Linked DNA regions of Caenorhabditis elegans. The protein of the gene in region 1 interacts with the protein of each later gene in a pairwise test. Each region holds a gene or a part of one and is shown on either strand. Other genes may lie near its edges. The genes, in order: fbxa-153 and unc-13.

Region 1 (11,764 bases):
TAGTCGTTGCCCATATTTGACAGTAAATATGAAAATTTCAAAGATTTTTCCAATACATTTTACTATGATATTTGGCAACTTTAAAGTATACCGTATGACGTGTTGATTACCACCATATTTTGTTAAGAAATTACTTTTATTGCGAACAAGGAGATTAGACAACAACTGAAATCATGCAGTAAAGTTAGGAAAAATGAGAATTTCACTGTGATAAGCAAAATTAATCACAAAAACACGGTGCCTAGTGCGGTAATTAATACGGCAGTCGAGTGGAAGCCTGTCCAAGTTTGGGTCAAACATCTGCTCAAGACCTCTGATTGTGATTGGAGAGAACTTGAATCTGCCGTATCGAAAGTGTGGAGATTCTATGAGAATCTGAAAACAAAATTACATTTTGTCATTTCTATGTGTTTGGCTTTCAAAACTATTGTGAAACGGGAACGTAGTAATGAATACATACATATGTACATTGGTACCAATTGATATATTTCTTGGAATTTAGAATATTTGCTTCTTTAGTTGTTGTAAACAAATTTGAAATGAGTTTAGCTAATTGAAAATTAATAACAGGCCTAGACGAGGCTTAGGCTTAGACTTGGGCTTTGGCTTAGACTTAGACTTAGACTTAGTTAGACTTAGGCTTAGGCTCATACTTCTTATTTTAATTTTTCACAATTAAGCGAAATATGAGCAGCCAAAATACCTCGTTGAGATGTTACCCTTTCAAAACAAACATCTTACGTTTCGAATATCAATAACATTTCTTCTTGAACCGTTCCAAATTTCCAGATTGACACTCGTAAAGTGAAGAAAATGCTCAAGAGGGATCCGCCCATCGACCTTCCAATACATTTTAATGTTTTTAACCTGTAACCATTGTTCCAAACGGACAGCTTTTTCGAACCCGGGAATATCCGACTCGCGATGGAACCCCAAGATCATATGTTCAAGCGTTCCAGGTTTGAAATGAGAAAGCACTGACGCAAGTTCGTAATTGTTTTCCTTATCCCTCAAGAAGTTGCTATCAAGTTTCAACTTCTTCACATCCAACAAATGAGGCAACAATTTCAGAACCTTCTTGAGTCTTGTGCCATACTCGACGCGATATTCCTCACTCTTAATATCACATCTCATATTCATATTAAACATTCTCAATTTGAGCTTCGGATTTTGGAGAATTGCTTTTAAATCTGCCATGACAAGTTCCAAACAGTCACCACTACCAATGAGTATTCCATTCATTCTACAATCTTTCCTTATCTTGCATCCCTCTGGAGAATTGTAGTATTCCACCAAATCACCATCAATGACCAGTTTGCATTCGGATTCATCGTGAAGCGAATGGGCAGCAACACTCTTGATACTGTGGTGATTTTTATCAACAAGAGCTTCAAGCTTGCGGGAGACTCTTCGGACTATCATTCTGTAACTTATGAGGTAGAAATAGGTCCATATATATATATATATATATATATATATATGTCATGCTCACCGATCCAGTACAGTTAACCCATCCAAAATATCGCTGACGATCTGTATCGGTAAGTCGACAAAAGAAGTTTGCGGTGGCTCCTCACTGAAATTCGAGCACTTTTTTGAAAGTTTTCAAAATAATTTCCCAACCTTTGAACATAATGCAATTCCTTATTTCCATGGTAGAACAGGTAGTACCAAAACTCGTAATCGCGGTATTCCATGGAGTTGGAAACAAGTCTACAGAATTTACGATACGATTCGAATATTGGTATCTCGTTTAGGGCGTCAAAAAGTATGCAAGCTCGCATTGCGACCTGGCTGTCGGAGATGTGGATTACTTTACGGGGTCTGGAAAGTATTTAGTAATATTTCGCAACCTCCCCGGTTTCGAGAGCAAAATTTTTTTAGGGATTGAGATAATTCGAGCAAAATTTCAAGCAAAAGTATAAAAACTACCATCTTCTTAGAGCAGATCTAAAATGGTCCCGGAAATCGCCGAGACCAAAAACTAACCGAAAAACATTGCGTAGCCGTAGTGCAGTTTTTCGAAGAATCTGTATAGGAGAGCAAATTGCAGATAGCGGTTCCAATCTGAGAGAATAACAACTACAACTCACTATAGTTGGCGTTACCTCTTATCATAATTCAAATCGTGGTTTCCGCTCTCGAATCGCGAAATCCAGAACTCTGCGTCTGAAAATCTGACAATTTCATTTCCAGGAGAATGATGCTTAAGTTCCGAGAAAGTTTCTAATACGCCCTTCTTGTCGAGCACCTGGTAGAGAAGAACGGCGCGACTTGCTATTTTCATGTTATGAAGAGGAGTGGCAACCATGTTTGAGCCGTAAGTGATTGGGTTAGAGCTGTAAGAAGTGTATTCCAAAAGTGGAGCAAAATGACGGAGCTATTGGATGAAGCATGTGAGATGGTGAATACATCTGTTAACCGTGCTGGGTAGTGAGGTCCAAAAGCTCAGCTGTTACAAAAAATAGTTGTTTGAACAGCTGTGGAAAATTTTACACATTTAAAAAATAGTTGTTTTCGGCTTCCTCATAATATTTATGGCAAACTTTCCAAACAACTTGGGCAGCTTCTGTCTTGAAAATCGTCAGGCTTGAAAAACGAGAAAGGCGGCTAGATTAGAAAGGAGAATATGTGTGATTGTGAGACTTACATCTGTTGAAAGGAACTCGTGATACCAAGAGCGGAGGGGGTGGGCACCGAAACGTACAATTATACATCTGGCAAAAATGTCTATGTTTCATCAAATATGACCATCTGAATATACAACTTTTTATTGGAACCAGCCTTGGGTTTTTTAGAGTGATTGTTTTGTGCAGGAAAAATACAGGATAGGCTACGCCCTAAACATTACCGGGCCCCGAAAAACCCAGTCTCGAAAAAAGCTTTACCAAAAAGCCTTATTTCAATTTTTTGAAAACTCGCAAAAGTTGAGATCAAATAATTTATTCACTAAAACTACGGTTCAAGTATTTACAGAATATTCAATTTACATAACTACAGGAATCGACTGTTTATCAGCTTTTCTCAAAATTCGAAAACTGTAAGGACCGCATTGGATAGTATAACAGAAATTTGATGTATTGTAATCCAGTGAGTTTTCGGAGCCAAGTGCATAATCTGGGTTGAAGACCTTCCCGATTTCGATGGGGTCCGTGATGATGCTTCGAAAAGTTCCCGATTGTATTTTGTTTGGAAAGTTGTCGAGATACTGAAAGAATTAAGCTGATTGTAAATTATTGTAATGCTCACATGATGCTCAAATTACCAAATATTATTAAAAGCTTTTCGAAAAGTTTTGGAAAATTGTTTTCATTTACATTACAATGTGGAAAAATTGTACTTTTAAACACAACATGAAAGGATAAAAAACTTATTTTTAGGTCGACGAATACCAAAAAAAAAATGAGTGAAAACTGAGTTTTCACCAATTCCGGCTCGAAATAAAAATAATTTCCAAAAACTAGCTTCAAAACACCGAATTTCATAACGAGACACTTCTAAAAAATCAGTAAAATTTGTTTATGGCGGGTCAAAAACTTGAAACTATGGCCTAATTTCAACTAAAATCCCCAATTTTCTTTTTTTTTTGTGCCACAGCCGTCGGAAAAGTTAGCACACTGCCAAGAAAAATTTGTGGGTCATTCAAAGTAAAATAAAAGAAAACATTTCAACACCTTGTTCTCTTTCGATATAATGTTAAAAACTCACATTCTTAATTTCCACTGCATATTCTCTTGTGAAGGACTTTAGTGATATCTCGAATCCCGCCAAATGAGCCAAATTTGCAAAAGGAATCGAAAGTTTGCAGTCACCACAAATTGAAATCGATTTTGCCCTTTTCCATTGTTCCAAACTATAGACACCTGTATTCATCACAAAATCTTCTGAAACTCGAGAAACATCTAGTGAAATCGTCTGGATTGCTTCCGAATTGAGGCAACCTAAAGTGGTCTTAATTTCCGATTGGTGAATTCCGTTAAACGTGAAGTTTCTGATTCTCGGCCATTTCCAAGAATGAAAAGTCTCGATCACCTTCTTCCGGGCGTCTTGCTCAAGGGCACTTGAAAATGTGATCGCGAAACTGTTGAGTTGAAGTTTCGGATGCTTCATCGAATTTGATAAATCATGCAGTGCCAATTCCAGCTGATCTCCTAACGGAACACCTTTGTCGACATCTTCATACTTCACCATACAACCACCATCACATCGTTGGTATTTGACGTTGTGATGAGAAAAATTCAGAATCGACCAATCTCTGCACAGTCTGAGACTTACTTCCTTATGACATATGACTTCAAAATCCCCGACAACTGATCGCAGGGTTTGGGAAACTTTATGAAGGATCATTCTGAAAAATGTTACAGTTAGCCAATAGGTAGCCAATTTTTGGGACTCTCATTTCCGGAGATGTTTTGTGTTGTTTTTTAGTGAGAGAATTACTTTTTTCCAAAAATATGAGCCGAACAAATTAGTAAAGCGCCACCCCTTTCTTGGTATTGCAGCGCAGTATTCAAATTTTCCGGGACTTTGTGAGTTCACTTTTTGAAACAATTGTGTAGTAAAACTTTCCAGAATATGTATAGGAAATCCCCAAATAAGATCCGCTTGGATCATGCCTAATTTGGGGGGATTTGCCAAGATGTGGGAGGAGCTCATGTTTCAGAAATGTATTTAATTTGGCTTTATTTTCTGCCTCCTTCCTAAAACCCCCATCTTGCCACACACACGCGTTTTCGGTGTTCAAAAAATGTTCAAAAAATGTCCGAAAAAATGGAACAACAACTTTGAACGTTTATATCTCGGCTCTCACTGAACCGATTTTTGAAATTCTTTTTTCTCCACGTTCACAAAATATAGCGACGTGTGTTTATCTAAAAGGGGGTTGATTTTGGATCATCCTGTCGGCTCCACAAGCGGAAAACCACACCCTTCTTGTTTTTGCGCACACCGAAGTACTGGCCGAAAACCACTTTAAATTGAAGGAAAATTCGAGTTTATGTTCAAAACGTTTGAGACTCGAAACTTACGTTCTCCTTTTCAATACCTATCCACTGTATCTAAGTTCATTGTGATATCTCTATTCGTTATTTTTAAAACGATAATTAAAGTTTTGCTAAAATTTCTGCACCTCCCCCCTTTTCTCACACACACACACCCACCTCCCCTTTTCATATTTGGTGTGTTTTCATCCACATTTTCACCATTGTTTCGGTCATATCTCCGTTAGTCTTGCTTCTTTTTCAAAATTTTTTTTGGAAAAATGTTCATCACATCGAGAGGAAGCGGAAAATATAACTTTTTGTTTCAAAAAAGGTAAATAATAGTCTCAAAAATAGAAAAAATGAACACTTCTTTCAAACAATTTACATTTTTCCATAAAATTCACAAACTTTCCACTATCGTTCCGGTTTTTATGTTAAATTTGGAATTAATAGAATGATTTAAAATGGGATCTCAAATCACAGCTCGATCCGATCATTTTTCGCGGAGATAGGTTATTTAATTTTTGCATGTGGAAATCCAGTTTTCCTTTGTTCCTGGACAAGTTTTCAAATATCCTTTTCATTTTATGTTTTAATTTTGATAATTTTCACTAAAGCAAGGTAGACAAACTAAATTTGGTCGGTCTTGACAACTTTCAGCACATTTGTGGAAGTTTTGAGCTTCCAGGCCTTCCCAGAAGGTGATATGTTTCAATTTTTGTTATTTTTAAAATAATAACCGCTGTGTTATTCTACTTTTTACGCCAATTTCAAATATTATTTTATTTTTTTCAAACTTCTACTATGAGCAAAGTTATGACGAATTGAAGTCTTAGTGCATAACTCCTTACCTCTCCTCACTGCTGCATGCGTGCGGGTGGCTGGAAAATGTTTTCTTCCCAAAAAAACATAGAAAGGCACTTTAACTCTAAGAATATTCAGTTCACTTTGAACATCTATTTCAGGCATTGCAGGCCGAAGGCCTGCTGTGCAATTACAACTGTTTCAAGCCCAGATTGTCTGGATTAAGTGCCGCAGGCACTCTTACTCTTAGAAGACGCAGTCAACCTTAAATCATTATACCAAGCCAGGCCGGAGGCCTGATATGCGATTACTCTTAGATAAGTTTGATTTAGCAAGCTTTTATTATTTTCAGTTTTCTAAAACAATCCCCATTCCCGAAGGGCTGGGGGCCCACAGGCGTTCACGATTTTCCAAAAAAGTGAAATGTTTATTTTTTGGTTATTTTTCGAATTTGAAAACACCATACGATTTTGGTTTAAACACTAAATTGAAATAGAAATTTCGCTCTCTTACGATCTACGCCCTACCCACTGCTAAGCCTGGCAAGTCGCAGATTTGCTATCAACAATATTGGAAACTGTGGGCTGGCTTTGATCCTATTCTAAGCAGAGCAGGCTGTAGGCCTGCGACGCGGTTGTTATTTACTCAAACCTAACAACCAGGTTCGAGGGCCGCAGGCCCGAACACTCTTGGAAACTATGGGCTGGCTTTGATCCTATTCTAAGCAGATATGTTATTCACTCAACCCTAATAACCAGGTTTGAGGGCCGCAGGCCCGAATACTCTTGAAAACTGTGGGCTGGCTTTAATCCTATTCCAAGCAGAGCAGGCTGTAGGCCTGCGACGTGGTTGTTATTTACTCAAACCTAACAACCAGGTTCGAGGGCCGCAGGCCCGAACACTCTTGGAAACTATGGGCTGGCTTTGATCATATTCTAAGCAGATATGATATTCACTCAAGCCTAATAACCAGGTTTGAGGGCCGCAGGCCCGAATACTCTTGAAAACTGTGGGCTGGCTTTAATCCTATTCCAAGCAGAGCAGGCCGTATTCATGAGTTTTCCTTTTCCTTCACCGTTTTTTGTAGTTCACAGTGATGATTGAAAACACGCTTATTTTATTGAATACATTCAAATTATTCTTGAACAAAATCTCAGCCTAAGTTATTCGTACAGTGTCGGTCCTGGAGCAATGAATCAAAGTTTAAAGAGATTTCACTTTACACAGTAAGAGCTTCGAGGAGAAGCCTCAAACTTGAATAGTCAAGTTTTCTAAACATATACCCCACTCCTGAAACAATTTCAAAGAGATTTCGAATAACCCGTTAACAGGTTCGAGGCGAAGCCGAGAACCTGCGCCAGCTACCTTGCTAATAACTTAGAGCGAATTAACCCTATCCCCATTCCCGAAGGGCTGGCGGGCCCATAGGCCCGCTAGTCCTTTAACAAAGAGGATATTCTGATTTCGATAACTAAAAATTTTGGATCAAAATTTGAAATAGAAAATAATTTTGAAAAACTCGAAATTTACCTATCGCGAAAATCCAGTTCATTTAAAATCCTATGAAATATTTCGATGGGCAAGTCTGACAAACTTTTGAATTCCAACCTGAAATTCATTAATTAATAAAAAAGTTTTAAAATATTAAACTTACATTCGATCATCATTCAAATCATGATTTCCTCCATAAAATCGATAGAACCAAAACTCGAAATCCACATAGTCCATGACGTCATCGCCTAGTTTTTCGCAAAAATTCTTGTAGCTCTCGTCGATCGGCTTTCGGTGAAGAGCTTCGTAGAGAATACAGGATCGAACGAAAATTGGATTGTCCAGTACTGATTCAGTCATTTCTAAAAAAGACGGCTTTAAAATTTCAAAATTGCAAATTACAAAGAACAGAAAAAAAACAACCAAAAAAAGTGCAATAGCAATCTCGAGAAATTATGCAAATGTATATGCAATTGCTGGGGTGCCTGATGATGAAATAGTAAATAAGAGATGGGGAAACCCTTGAGAGACTCAGGGAAACGGTAGTAGACACTGGAGAGGAGGGGGAGAGGAGCGGTCAAATGAGTCCCCCTGTGGGGACACATATTTCCTTTTACATAGGTCCAACATCGAAAGAGCAAGTGGAAGTGGGCGATAAATTGCTTCTAAAGTTTCAGTAGATCGACGACTTCATCAAAAAATATTGATTACACTGAACACAAGGCTCGGAGTTTGAGCAGAAATTGTCATTGAGTTTCGAAAGTTTAACGAGAGAGCACGTGGCGTTTCCATAAGCCGAACGAAGTTTGATCATTGTGTAGTGCTGAAAAATTGAATTGATGCCCTGAAATCTCATGATTTCAGACATTTTTCTGACGTCATTTTTGGTGGAAATTGGATCATACAATATATTGTTATTGATATTGACTGTCTGAATTCCGATGCCATGATCTTCGGAATGAAAGTTTGGGAACGAGGGTACTAACAAATCTATTTTAAAAAAATCAATACCTATCTTGATAGATGGCGCTTTTCAAAAGTTAGTTGTATTTTCAGGTATGTGTCATCTAGTTTGAATTTCCTGCAACAAAATTTCATGAACATATTTCCGTTTTCGTGGCAAGACATGATTTGGTTCTTGGGATCAATTAGAATTCAGACGGCAACAACAATATTTTGTAGTCACATTTACAGCAGATATACGGATGGAATACAATACAATCAGTATATATACCACTGAATAAGACGTATTGTGATTTATCAACTGTCAAAGATTCTTCAAAATGTCTGAATCATACGTTTTCTGGATACACGTGACCCATTTTATTCCAAAACTTGGATTCGTTACAACATTTATGTCTGGCCTGTGCCTACTGTTCTTGAACTATTTCGGTGCTCAGAAAAATTTCGGATCTTACAAGTACCTGATCAGTGCGTTCACAATGCTGGGAATGATTTTTGCAACTGTAGAGATAATTGTGTACCCGGTAATAATACGCTTTGTGGCAAAATCTGAAAATGTTATTAATTCAGAATGTTCACAACTATAAAGCTAGCTTTCTATTCTACAGTTTTGAAGAATCTTTTGGTTTAAGTGGATCATGGTCGAGAAATATTCCACTGGGTTAGCATTGATATACCCTTTTAAACATTAAAAAAAAATATTTAGCCGGTTACACATTTTTCCACTCGGCAACCATGTCTCTATTATCAGTGCATTTCATATATCGATATTGGGCAGTTTTTGAGTAAGAAATTTCACATTTCAGAAATGCGCTTTCAAGCTTGAAACAATTCTAAAAAATTTCAGTACGAACAAACTTGCCTACTTCAACGGATGCTATTCTCTTATTTGGTTCTTCTATTGCGCGTTTTTCGGCTTTCAATATTCTCTTGGAACCTACTTTTTTTTGGCAAGAGACGAAATAACTGATGAATATCTTCGTGAAGATATGCTTCTCAGATATAATGCGAATATCAGTGAGCTTCCAGCTATGGCCATAGTTGCCTACGATCCTGTGGATGGATCAGTAAGATGGAGAAATGTTATGGGAATATTTAATATTTGTTCAATTGTCAACTTTCAATATGCTATCATGTTCTACTGTGGATGGTCAATGCATACAAAAATGGAGGATAAAATTAAGAATTTTTCCGAGACTCTTCGAAAACATCACAAACAGTTTTTCAAAACTCTCGTGCTTCAGGTTAGAATGTATTAAAAAAAACGTCCAAGTTCACATGAAATTCAGATAACCACTCCTACAATCATATTATTCATTCCCATCACAATTATAATATTTCTTCCTCTGTTTCACCTAGACGTCAGCCTCCCATCTGGTGTCATGTTATGCAGCTTCACATTGTATCCTGCTGCAGATTCATTTATTGTCATGTTCGTTGTGTCGGAGTACAAGAATACTGTCAAAAGTAAGAATTGTGAAATTGAAAAAGTACCTGATCATACAATTTTTTTTAGGAACTCGAGCGGCCTTTTCTAAGGGTTTGAAGGAAACCATACAGTTTAGAGTACAACCATCTGGAATTACAAGTTCTCGTCAAATTACTTAATAGCTTACTAAAATTTCATGAAAAATATTTTCTCTATTGCCCCCCCCCCGTGACCTCACGAAATATCTTGCAATTTGTTTAATAATTTAGTTCGTTCCCTTCTCCGTTTATATTCTGTCCCCAACTAAAAAAATATCCTTAATAAATGTTTTATCTGAAAACACTGCAAGATTCAAATAAAAAAATTTGGAGAATGAAAAATAATTGCCTAATTACATTTAAAAATGAGAAGGATCATTATAAATTTGGTGTTTTGGGTCATTTCGAGTCTGAATCAAATATTCGGTACCGTTACAAAACAGTGATCAAAATGGTAGACACTTTGTGTTACTCTTCGATCACTTCCAATTTCCTGTCCACCAAAAATGCTTTCTGTGTGTTCTTCGGAATCCGTCCCTGCATTTTTTGCTGGAAAAATCTATATTGACTCAAAACTATTGAATCCTAACAGAAATTTCCAAATAATATTCTCAAATAACACGCAGCTACAAAACATGTGATATTTTTTGGTAGACAGGAAATCATTTCGTAGCCATCTGACAGATACAAATGTTGTCGATCTAGAGTCGTTAACAAAACAGAAAAAAGCGTTCCATGCCGGCACGTGTGATTTTTCAGCGATTTTTGGCCTCCTTAGGATTGCTGAACAACGCCATCCTTATTATTTTAATTTGGAAAAAATCGCCAAAGAAATTAGGGAACTACAAAATTCTCATGATATACATTGCAGTTTTTGAGATTCTTTATTCTTTACTGGACTTATTGACCACTCCAGAATGTTTTAGTAAAGATTCTGTGTTCTTGATTATTATCAATTTGAATTCTACTTTTGTTCCCGAATTTGTCGCTACTTGTGCAACTGGTAGGTTCATATACAATAATGTTTTCAGGACGTTTTTATTTTCAGCCGATGGGTGCACAAATATGAATTTATTTAAAAAGCTAATAAACGTTTTACAAACATTGGAGGATAATAATTAATAAAGGATAATAAAATCAGTTCCGTCCGCTGCGACACTGACAATAGGGAAAAATTGAGATTTTAGCTGAAAATAGGAATATTCTAAAATTTTGAACCATCATAACTCTTTAACAATAATTTCAGAATGTCTCATTACGAAATTAGGTAGTTTTGGGTCATTTGGGTCTAAAAAAGCAAAGCTCAGATTTTGCTACTCCACTTTTAAAATGTCTAATTTTCAATGAAAAAATGTCATATTTCCATTTTTTTAAAGTTTTCTTCACACGATCCAGATATTTCTCACTAAAAACTCCTAAAAATATCCTATTTTCAGTTGCATATTGCTCTTTATTCGGTATGTCGTTGGCAATTTTCGCAATCCATTTTGTCTACAGACATCTAGTTGTGGAAAAGTAGGAATTTCTTCTTGCACTTTTTCATTCTCAAAATTTTGTAAAATTTTAGAAGTCCTTTAATTTTTCAAAACCACGTGAGAAAGATACTATTATTGATATTATTTACAATACTAATTGGATGCTCTTGGACAACTTCAACTGCATATTTATGTGGTTCGAACATTTATGCAGATGAATATTTGACACGTCAATATTTGCCACTCAAAAATTTGAATCTACCTGATATCAAATATATAGGCTCTTTTTTTCGTTTTCCTGATGAAAATGGAGGATTTCATTATAATTGGAATTCATTTATTGCTCTGTCATTTATGTTAATACTCATTGTAAGTTGGTTTATGCCTAGATTCAGGCTTAGGCCTAAGCTTAGGATTAAGCTTAGGCTTAGGTTTAGACTTAAGTTTAGGCTTAGGCTTAGGTTAAGCCTTAGGCTCAGGCTTAGGCTTAGGCTTGGGCTAAGGATCAAGCTCTCATGTTACTTCATTTAGAATCTCAGTTTCTTGACGGTATTCTACTGTGGCTACCGTATCTACAAAACA
Region 2 (9,617 bases), on another chromosome or scaffold:
AAATTTTAAATTGAACCCTACAAGAAAATTAGCTGCAGAGGAGTCTCACAAATAAGTTGTCATATCCATGAGCTCAATGGAAGCATCAGAATCAAGGAACGGGCAATGTGCGCATCACGAAAACGACGCGCAAGTTTTGGTAGTTCGCGAGTCGCGGTATGCACATTGTGCCAAATTCGTTACGCCCACATTTTGAATAATGAGAAGAGCTCACTGATGAACAAGTCGTAAATAAACTGTACCTTTGAAATGGAACAAAAATTGAATCTGAGTTTTTGAATTAAGTTCAAGCCTCGTAAATTTTCTCCAAAAGTGGAAAATTGCATACTTTTTCCTATATATTGTATAGTTTTACAATCAACCACCGTTTTAAGATAAAATCTTGGCGAAAATTCAGCTTTTCTCACTATATACCAAGTGTTCTTTCAAGCTACCATCACTCCCTGGTGTATCTGAAAATTGAACATCAGCAGCTCCGTGGGCTCTCTATAGCCAAATAATCAAATCCCCGCCATCTCCTGCTTTTGCTTTTTTCCGTTTTTACTCTACTCCTTCTGACCCCCTCTCGTTTTTTTCTATTTTTCTTGTTATCTTGTTTCTTGATTTTTTTTGAATTTTGCCCCGTTCGTTCCGCGTTGGACAATTTCTCGTTTTTGTTCCGTATTATCCGTCTATTTTTTCTGAATATTGATGGCACGTGGCATGTCAGGTAAGGGTGATGGTAATGGAATAGACAATGTGGGTTTAATGTTTAAAGCTAGGATTAGGCCATACCTAATCCAAGAATAACATTTTCACATGTCTATCCCTTAAAATAAAAAAGGAAGTCTAGGATCAGGTTTCAGAAAAGGTAAGAATCAATTGGATCAGCGTGAAAAGTGGTGTTTGATGGCTTTTTTCGTTTTGGAGATTGGGAAAAAGGGTCGTATTTCTGAATGAATTTTTGATGAGTTAGTTTTTTTCCTCTCTCGGAAAACTTTAAAACTCGAAAAAAAGAATGAAACACCAGATTATTTTAAATTTCAAATGGTTTTTTTTCAAGAACTTCTCTATATTTTTCCATATATTCAACTTTCCATTAAAGACGATTGAGCTAGGCCTACCACGCAGATATTAAAAGTTAATCTTGAACGGAAGACGATTAGAGATTCAGATGACACTTGGGGAAATGATGATGACTGCTTCATCTTCTATCCCTTCGTATCTTCAAAGTGAGAAAACAATTTTTCATTCTGCAAAAACAATCTCTTTTGGCGATTGAATTTTTAAAAAAAATGACGCTATGCTAATTTTTATTCCTAGATTTATTTTTCTAAGATGTTCCAGTGTGTTAAACATTTTTAAAGAAAAGTTTTGCAAGGAAACCATTTTGAGATTTAGAACACCTTTCTTCAAATGTTCCAAAATTTGTACGGAAGAACGAACGCTTTTACTCTATCAAGTTTATGTATGTATACTTTTCACTAACAAATCAGTAATAAAAATTAAAAATTATTGATTTATTGATTTTTAAATTGAAATCAATCGTTGTTATGGAATTTTTCACACCTGGGCTATTTCAAATTCTAAGTTATTACAAGCTAACACACTGTGGCTTTCTCGACATGAGCAAATTGGAAAAGTTCAAATCCACCAGAATTGATGAATATTTCATTTAAAGCTTTTTATCAATGCTCAAATGTTTTTTCCGCTCGAATAAATCTAACAAAAAATGACGATGATGAGATGGTGAGATGAAACAAAACGTTTTTCTTTTTGGTTCTCTTTTTTCCTTTTAAAAGATTATATTAAAGATATATTATAGCTATATCCAACTCATAAAACAATTTTGTTGTACAAAACTTTTATTTTCAATTTTCCGATCAAAAAATTTATCCATAAATAGTGAACAAGTGAAAAACAATTTTCAATTATTTTTCAGCTGTTTGATTTGTGTATTTTATGTGCAGTCGCATTTTATCGATCATCATTGTCCGTCCAAAGTTATTCAAAATATTTTTTGAAAAATTAAATCGCATTTTCAAAAGGTTTCTGAGATGCAAATGATTTCAGATTGTAAGTTTTCATCAAGTGATTAGAAATTTTAAACTCCCGTTTTGAAATTTTGATTTCATTATGGCTTCAAATTTCCTTTCAAAATATCAAACCCTTCTCATCTGCTATGTTATAATGATTTGTTTTTTAGTTAGAGAAATGGTACAATTTGATATTTGTTAATATGTAAACATTTACGTCAACATGTCAAAGCGTTATTGTAACTTTCGAGAAATACGAGAAAATTGTTTCAGTTTGAGAAAATTCGATGCAAAATGCTCGAAAATGTCGATAAGTGTGCTGGGTTTTTTTAGAATTTAGAATATGAAATATTCAGACACAAAATTTCTGAGAGAATCTTCATCTTAACCGTTTGATGCATTACGACCATCCATTTAAAAACTTTTTGATAATTTTTGTGACTGATCCTTTTACAGATTTTCTTCTTCAAATATAAAAATTTCAGAACTAATTTTCGATATTTAAAACATGCTGGAAACTATCTAATTTCCTAGAAAACATCTTGATAATTAAAAATATCTTTTTCTGGAACACAACCCTTGAAAATGGGTTCTTCGTATGATTTTAAAACCTCATCGGAACACAGAATTTGATATGAATTCCCATAGCAAGTCTGTTTTGAAGCATTGAGTGGCATCTAGGTCTAGAAATTGGAATGGAGAGCACTAGAGCGTGAGAACCGTCCACATACACAAACACATATAAACGTCCTCCTATTGTCCATTTCTGAAACCCAATTGGTGAAAAAGTAAGAGAGAGAGAGGGACACCAAAAGAGAAATTGTGGTGAAGGGAAGAGTGGTGGTAGTGGGTGCAACTATCTCTGGGTTCTCCGAGAATTCAGTGCTCCGTGCTCCTCTAGCTTGGCTCCGCGACGTCTTCTGCTACTCCGTCCTCAATTTTTGCGAAGGGGGGAGTGGCGAATAGGGGGTAGAGAGCGGGAGCAGAAGAAGAAGAAAGCACAAGCTCATCCAGTCGCCGTCTCCACACTCTCCGTTATACTTATTCCGGTTCTCTGCGTCTATTAGTTTGAATCACTATCTCACTGGTTTCTTTAGTATATACTCCAAAAAATGCTACTTTTTCGCGCATTTTGCGTTCGTTTCTTTTTTTGGACTTTCTTAATCAACTTTTTTTGTGGTTTGATCAAGATTTTTTCGTTTAGGTTTGGAATTTTAGACAAAAATTATATTAAAGAGTTTACAGCTTTTTTGTCCATAAGAAGTTCATGTTGAAGTTTTGTTTTTTTATTGTAAAAATAATGTAGCACCAGTCAGGATTTTGTCAAAATCAAAAATAAAAGTGCTTAAATGAGACCCTAAAAAATTGTTTCAGATTTTTCAAATGTTCAGTCAAAATGATGTTATACTGCCAAAATTTAATTTTGCAAACTCTTTAATTTTTTTGACTGGTAACAAAAATTTCGTTTTTTTAATTTCGTTTTTTTTTTTTTTTTTTTGAAAAAATTTTCACTATGTTCCACTTTTGAATGTTAAAATCACTGAGTTACTAACACATTCTTGAAATTTTCTCATTTAAAGAATAAAAACAACTTTGACAAGAGAAAGAAGTAAAACAATATAGTTTTTCTAAACTTGTATTTACTTTTTAACCCAGTTTTTCGTATTTCATAGTAAAAAAAGTATAGAAAAAAGTGATGCATTTTTCATTATAATGCAGAAGGCACCTCGAGGCTATACGCATTTTCTTAGCAAAAAAAGGAGCTCATTTTTTCTGTATTTTATGACTTTTCATCATGTCATGCATATAATTTTTTATTCATTGTTATGTAGGAATTGAGAGTTTTGTTTTTAATTTAATTTTTATATAAAATTAAGGGGCTTTGAACACGTTCTATCTATAACTTTCTTTGAACAAAAACTACAAAACACAAATTTCAAAGATCTCTGGATCTGTCTGATTAGGCTGTTAGTTCTTTTGAACTTACTTACTTCTGCTTAATCCAATTATTTGTACCACTCATCACTGACCTTCAGTTTAACTTTTGTCTATAGGTTAAACTTGATCTCAAGCTTTAACTCTGCACCAGGAACTTGAACCTAAACCTGATCTCTAATTGATTCGCTAAAACCTTAAAATTCTGAAAATCCTGATCCAAAAACTCTCCAGGAGACCAAGTTGTTCTCGGCATTGGAACAACTGGTCGGCGGCGCGTACCCATCTGGGGAGGCCGCTTCCTCTTCAACCATCGCCCAAGAATATGCCACGTTTCAACAATCAGAAGGGATGGATGACGTTGGAGATTACAATGATGATCAACTTTCAGATGGCATGAGCATGAGGTTGCTCTGCATTACCAGTGAGTTGTTATTTGTGTTCTTCTTGCCGTCTCGAGAATACATATATACGAGACCATCGACACTCAGTTATGGACGAGATGTTAACATTGATTGTTTCAGTTAAAAAAGCACGACTTCAAGGAGCTGTCGGTGAGTATTTCTATTGATTTTATAACTTAAAATATATAGTTCAGTTTTCATTTAAAATAATTTATTTCGTTTGAAAAATACTGGAAATTCCCTGAAACTTGAAGTAGATAATGTAACAAATATTCTGAGAGTTCTGCCAATTTTTTGAAAAAAATCTGAAAATGTAACAGTGTGCCAGTACTGTTACAATTAGTCTCGATGACCATAGAACCAAAAGATGCTCCTGCTCCAAATACTTTTAAAAAATCATAGTCAGAGCTAACTGAAAATCAAGTGGCTCTTCCACTTTATGAATCATCACTTTATCTCAACAAAAAACTATTAACTTGCCAGATGTCTGAAATGTGGATCTGACTTTTTTTAAATGAAATGTCCACCTCCTTTGGGTGAAAGACTAAAAAATCTGAATAAATCCCTTTCTGCAAATCGAGAAACGATCATGCGTGGCGTTGCTCCGATTTGTAGTTGTCGCCTGAGAAATTCATCATTCGTGACACCTGTCATTCCAGTTTCACGGGGCGACCTCCCGAATAATAAATCTCATCGTGAAACGCGCGTTTTCATGCTTCGATGACACACGAAATAATGCACAACTTATACCTCAACATCACGTACAAGATGTGCTTAGTATTCTGAATGTATGTGTATGCACCCGCCTCTTCTATTTTCCCATCCCTTTTTTTTGGCAAATTTTAATCAAATTTTGGGACCTTTTTAGAGTAAGATAAGAGAAAAGAGTCGTTGAAGAGGCAGGAAAAGTTTAACTACATTCGTGAGCAAGTGAGTAAGTAAAAAGTAAGAAACCGGAAAAAAGTTGCCAGGAAATTAAACATAGAAGCACCGGGGGCACCTCTAAACAAGAGAGTAAGTCACTGGGGAAAACGTTTGAAATGGAATGACGAATGAATGAGGGCACCGGAGACGAAACAAGATACGGTGGACTGGAAGCTTAAAGACCAAGAAAAATGAAATGAAACTTAAACTTTGTTATTTATCATGTACGTTAAGCTCAAGAAAAAATTATGGAATTAAAATTTTAAAAAATTATTAAAAATTAAGCGAAACATATATTTCCAATGCTTTTGAAATAATTTTTGATATTTCATTTAATTTTGAGAATATAGAACAAATGTTTTCGTTTTTTTAAGTATTAGTAGTAAAGAATGTGTCTGAAGTTACACATATAGTTCGAAAAACCCCACATTCTAAACGTAAGTTGACAAAATCCCGCTAAAAGTACCCCATCTTTAAAGCATATAGTAAGAGCATATAGTAATAGTAAGAATACAACCAGCTTGTTCAAAAAATTTAACAAATCGTTCAATGTTTAGTAGCTTTTTACATTTACTATAAATCTCATGAGAAAGAACTTTAAAGATTCTTGATCTTTCACTCAAGTTTGAGCCAGAAATTGAGTTATAATTCACGTTGTTCTCTTTTTTTTTTTCTTTTCAACTAAAAAAAATATAGCTTCTTTTTTTATTGTTCCCCTGGGTACAAAAGTTTAACTGAGCGTCCCAGTAATTTTCATGAGAGCATATTTATAGTTAACGTGTTACATTCTAACTCTTGTTTTAGGACCCAATTGTTTTCAACTGTCCCATTTTTAGGATTAGCCAATAAGTTGTCCAGCAGTAAAAAAATTTTGAAGTTGCGATTTTATTTAGGATTGGAGAGATTTTGCAGATTTATAATCTTCTCTAGATTTTTTCAAATTTCTTTTTGGAAATGAAATCTCAACAACTTTTCACCTTCGTTTTACCAAAGTCTTATCAAGTTTTGATTTTTAAAATTTTGATTATCAAAACTTGGATTGAGTTGAAATTTTCTATAAATTTTAAAGAGGTTTTGTACAAGCATTAACGTTTCGCGCCCTCCCTATCATTAGAGCATGTTTTTTTTCAGTTTTTAAATTTTTGAAAAACAATTTAAATGCCTGATCTCAGATGAATTCAACTCGTACGTGACGGTGAAGCTGCAGACTGTAAAATCAACAACTGTGGCTGTGCGTGGCAACTTACCATGCTGGGAGCAGGAATTCATTTTGTAAGTTGTCATTGACAGGTGAAATACGGTAAAGGAGACCGATTTTTGTAAATGTTATAAAAAAAGAACAGCTGAAAATAGTAATATTTGATATTATGGAAGGAAAAATACCATTATGCGTAAATTGGTGTTATTTTGCCTCCTTTTTTTAGTTTTGGAACGTTTTACTTGTTTTTTTTTCATTACACTTACAATTATTTTATTAAAATAACAACAATTATATTTGAAAACCAATTAATCAAACATTAAGGTTTCAGCTAAACCACATCACCTCATATTTAATTAATTATTTCAGTGAAACAAATCGACCTGACGACGGAATGGTACTCGAATTATGGGCCAAAGGCGTTTTATGGGACAAATTAATAGGTGTTCATTATATGCCACTTTCGGAGATTAGATACAGGTAAAATTTTTTTTTAATTTCCAGTCGTCAGTTAAAATCACTCTAAAACCAATACTAAAATGGCAACATACTTTAATACAATTTTACGAAAAAATATGAACGTTTCTTATTTACAATGGAAAAGTGCAATTATTCAGTTTTCGCCACCTATAATTGTCGTAATTGAGCGGAAGTGGTTTCTAACTTTTAAAATTAATGTATCAGTTTTCTAAAAATACCCCATTGATTTTCAGCAATGCAGCAGGTTCGGGTCAATGGCTTCAAATGGATCATGAACTTGAAACAAGAAATGGTCAAACTGTAGGAACACGTGGTCCAACAGGTCATAACTTGTTGACTGATGTTCGATTTGAGCTTCCTTTTGGTGAGTGGTTGTTATTCAGAATTATAATTTCTTATAGTATGGATTTTTGTTGATATTCCCCTCCTCTGTGATTAAATCTTAATTATTTTATGCTATTATATATTCTTATATATTTCTAAATATATATATTCTAAAAGCCTGATCATGCTACTTGCTGAAGCACATTGAGCTAATTGCTGTTCATAATCAATTTACAATTTAACTTAATTAATTGCATTCAGAAACACCTAATCTAAACCAATTCAAAATTATCTTGATATTGTTCAAAACTGAACAAACTATTCAGAAGTTAGCGGTAACAAGCTCAAAATAAAAATTATCAGATTCTCCTGTATTTGCTGATAAATTCACAGTTGAAGTAATCCTTATCTTTAACGCTGAAAAATATTAGATAATATTTTACTGTTGAAAAAGTTTTGGAAAAACCAACGACAATTAAGATAAGAGTTGTCAATGTAAAGCAAATGGATGCAAGACTAAAATACGAGATTCCATCAGATTGATCCGTTGTTATTGATCATGCAACACGATAGACACACAATCTGTTACAGTTTTTTAGAATTTTATGAACATTTTCCAATATTCTAGTGAAACCTAATTGTTACCATAAGATTTCTGACATGCATTTTTAACCTAAAAATGTTACTGTCAAATTCCAAAACGTTCTTTCCCATAAAATTTTTGGAATATCTTTTTCTAAAACGCTTACAATTTTTTCTCTTTTCTTCTTTCTTTCAAAAACTGTTTCCTTCTATTTTTCCATTCACATCGTATCGGTTTCTTGACACGTCTTCTTCTCTCTTTATATTCCACGTTCCATCCGTTGTTTCTCCTCTGAACAATTCCAAGTGTACCTCATACATCAAAAACGTCGAGCACTTTAGGCTTCTTCGTCTCCATGATTCACCTGAGCCTTTCTAGTTCTCTTTTCGAAGCTCCGTGTTTCCTATACATTTTTTGAACCATTTTGCGAACAAAATTTGAAATAAAATAGAGAAGCAAATTATCAAAAAATTATAATGGTATCTTTTTTTCCTTTTCTTCCCTTATGACTCTTCATTAGTCAAGTGTGACATTGAAATTTCATTACAGCATGATAACTGACAAAATTATTTTTTGCATTTATTCTAACAATTTGATTTTTTGACTGGAATTTTTTAGATATGTCAGGTGGTTTAGTACTAGACATGTTTTGCAGCCAAAATTTTATGAGGATGACTCTAAAACTTCTGAAGCAGCTCGGAACCAAGTTCCCAGTGTAACCTTGATTATTCTTTGCATTTTCTAATTTTTTTTTTGCAAATCACTGTTTCAGTTTACATACTAATATTTGTTATTTTTTACTCTAAACGATATCCATGTCTCAAAGTTTTGTTTTGTTTTGTTGAAATCTCCATTCATTTGTTCAAAAATAGTTCAGTCGTTTCCAGTCAGTTACCGAAAGAAATCTGAACAAAAAAATCAAAATTTCTGAAAATTTGGAATAGCCGTTTTAGTCTTCATTTCTCGAAAAGAAATGTGAGAGAGTATCTGACAACGCTTCCCATGAGGGAATACTCTTGATACTTTGCACAAATTCGCCGCTCAAGAGCTCCGATGACAAAGAAGAAGAGGAAGAAAATGCAGATCACACAAGCAGCCACTTGTCTCTAAATCCCACTCAGATTCAGATAATTTTCAATTTTTAAAACTTTTAACTTCAAAGAACTTCTACTCAGAAGATGTCTACATTTTGAAATTTCCCGAGCTTCAATTGTTTTTTTTTCGAGTTTTGGTGATGCAGCTCAATTTAGTAAAAATACGATAATACCAAAAACTCCGTAAAACCTCGTTTTTGCTTCATTCCAATATTTTTGAGAAATAAAAATGCAACGGTGGTAAAATAACAGAGAATAAGGTGAATGTATTCAGATTTAGCTCGGCGATAAATCTTTCACAAAGCCCCCGGCCAAGACACTAATTACGAGCCGACTGACTCTGCTCCCCGTTTTTCGCTTTTCGATTTGCTCACAAATAATGCACGGCGGTTCTGGAGCTAGCTTCCAACGGTATCACGGAGTTCACTTTTTTTTGTTTTGGAAATCATGATGGTAGTTTTTCTTTTTAATAGGTTAAATCATAAGTTTGCTTGTTGCTTTTTGAATTTACAATTAAAAATGACCTTCCGTACTAAAATTATAAAATATATTTTCAAAAATTTTTGATTTTTTTATAGAATGCAAGTATTAATTCCTCAATTTTCGTCAAACTTAATTTTGGAAGTCGATCAAAAAATTATTCATCGGTTTTAATATTTT

Evidence for each region.
Region 2: the proteins of fbxa-153 (region 1) and unc-13 interact in a two-hybrid assay, tested with the Caenorhabditis elegans proteins (one study listed by BioGRID).

The regions. Positions count from the first base shown.
Region 1 is NC_003283.11:15,602,744-15,614,507, forward strand, and holds fbxa-153 (F-box domain-containing protein), read right to left. Parts: upstream 7,642-11,764; 5' UTR 7,638-7,641; coding exon 7,441-7,637; intron 7,395-7,440; coding exon 7,317-7,394; intron 4,349-7,316; coding exon 3,709-4,348; intron 3,209-3,708; coding exon 2,987-3,208; 3' UTR 2,930-2,986; downstream 1-2,929. Other genes in the region: fbxa-154 (F-box domain-containing protein), read right to left, coding at 172-375, 742-1,423, 1,493-1,576, 1,624-1,824, 1,990-2,067, 2,109-2,311; str-12 (Seven TM Receptor), read left to right, coding at 8,561-8,764, 8,811-8,901, 8,947-9,025, 9,088-9,484, 9,530-9,707, 9,757-9,848; str-263 (Serpentine receptor class r-10), read left to right, coding at 10,443-10,710, 11,144-11,222, 11,275-11,551, 11,714-11,764.
Region 2 is NC_003279.8:7,418,484-7,428,100, forward strand, and holds the start of unc-13 (Phorbol ester/diacylglycerol-binding protein unc-13), read left to right. Parts: upstream 1-4,301; coding exon 4,302-4,374; intron 4,375-4,474; coding exon 4,475-4,504; intron 4,505-6,450; coding exon 6,451-6,550; intron 6,551-6,845; coding exon 6,846-6,956; intron 6,957-7,189; coding exon 7,190-7,320; intron 7,321-9,617.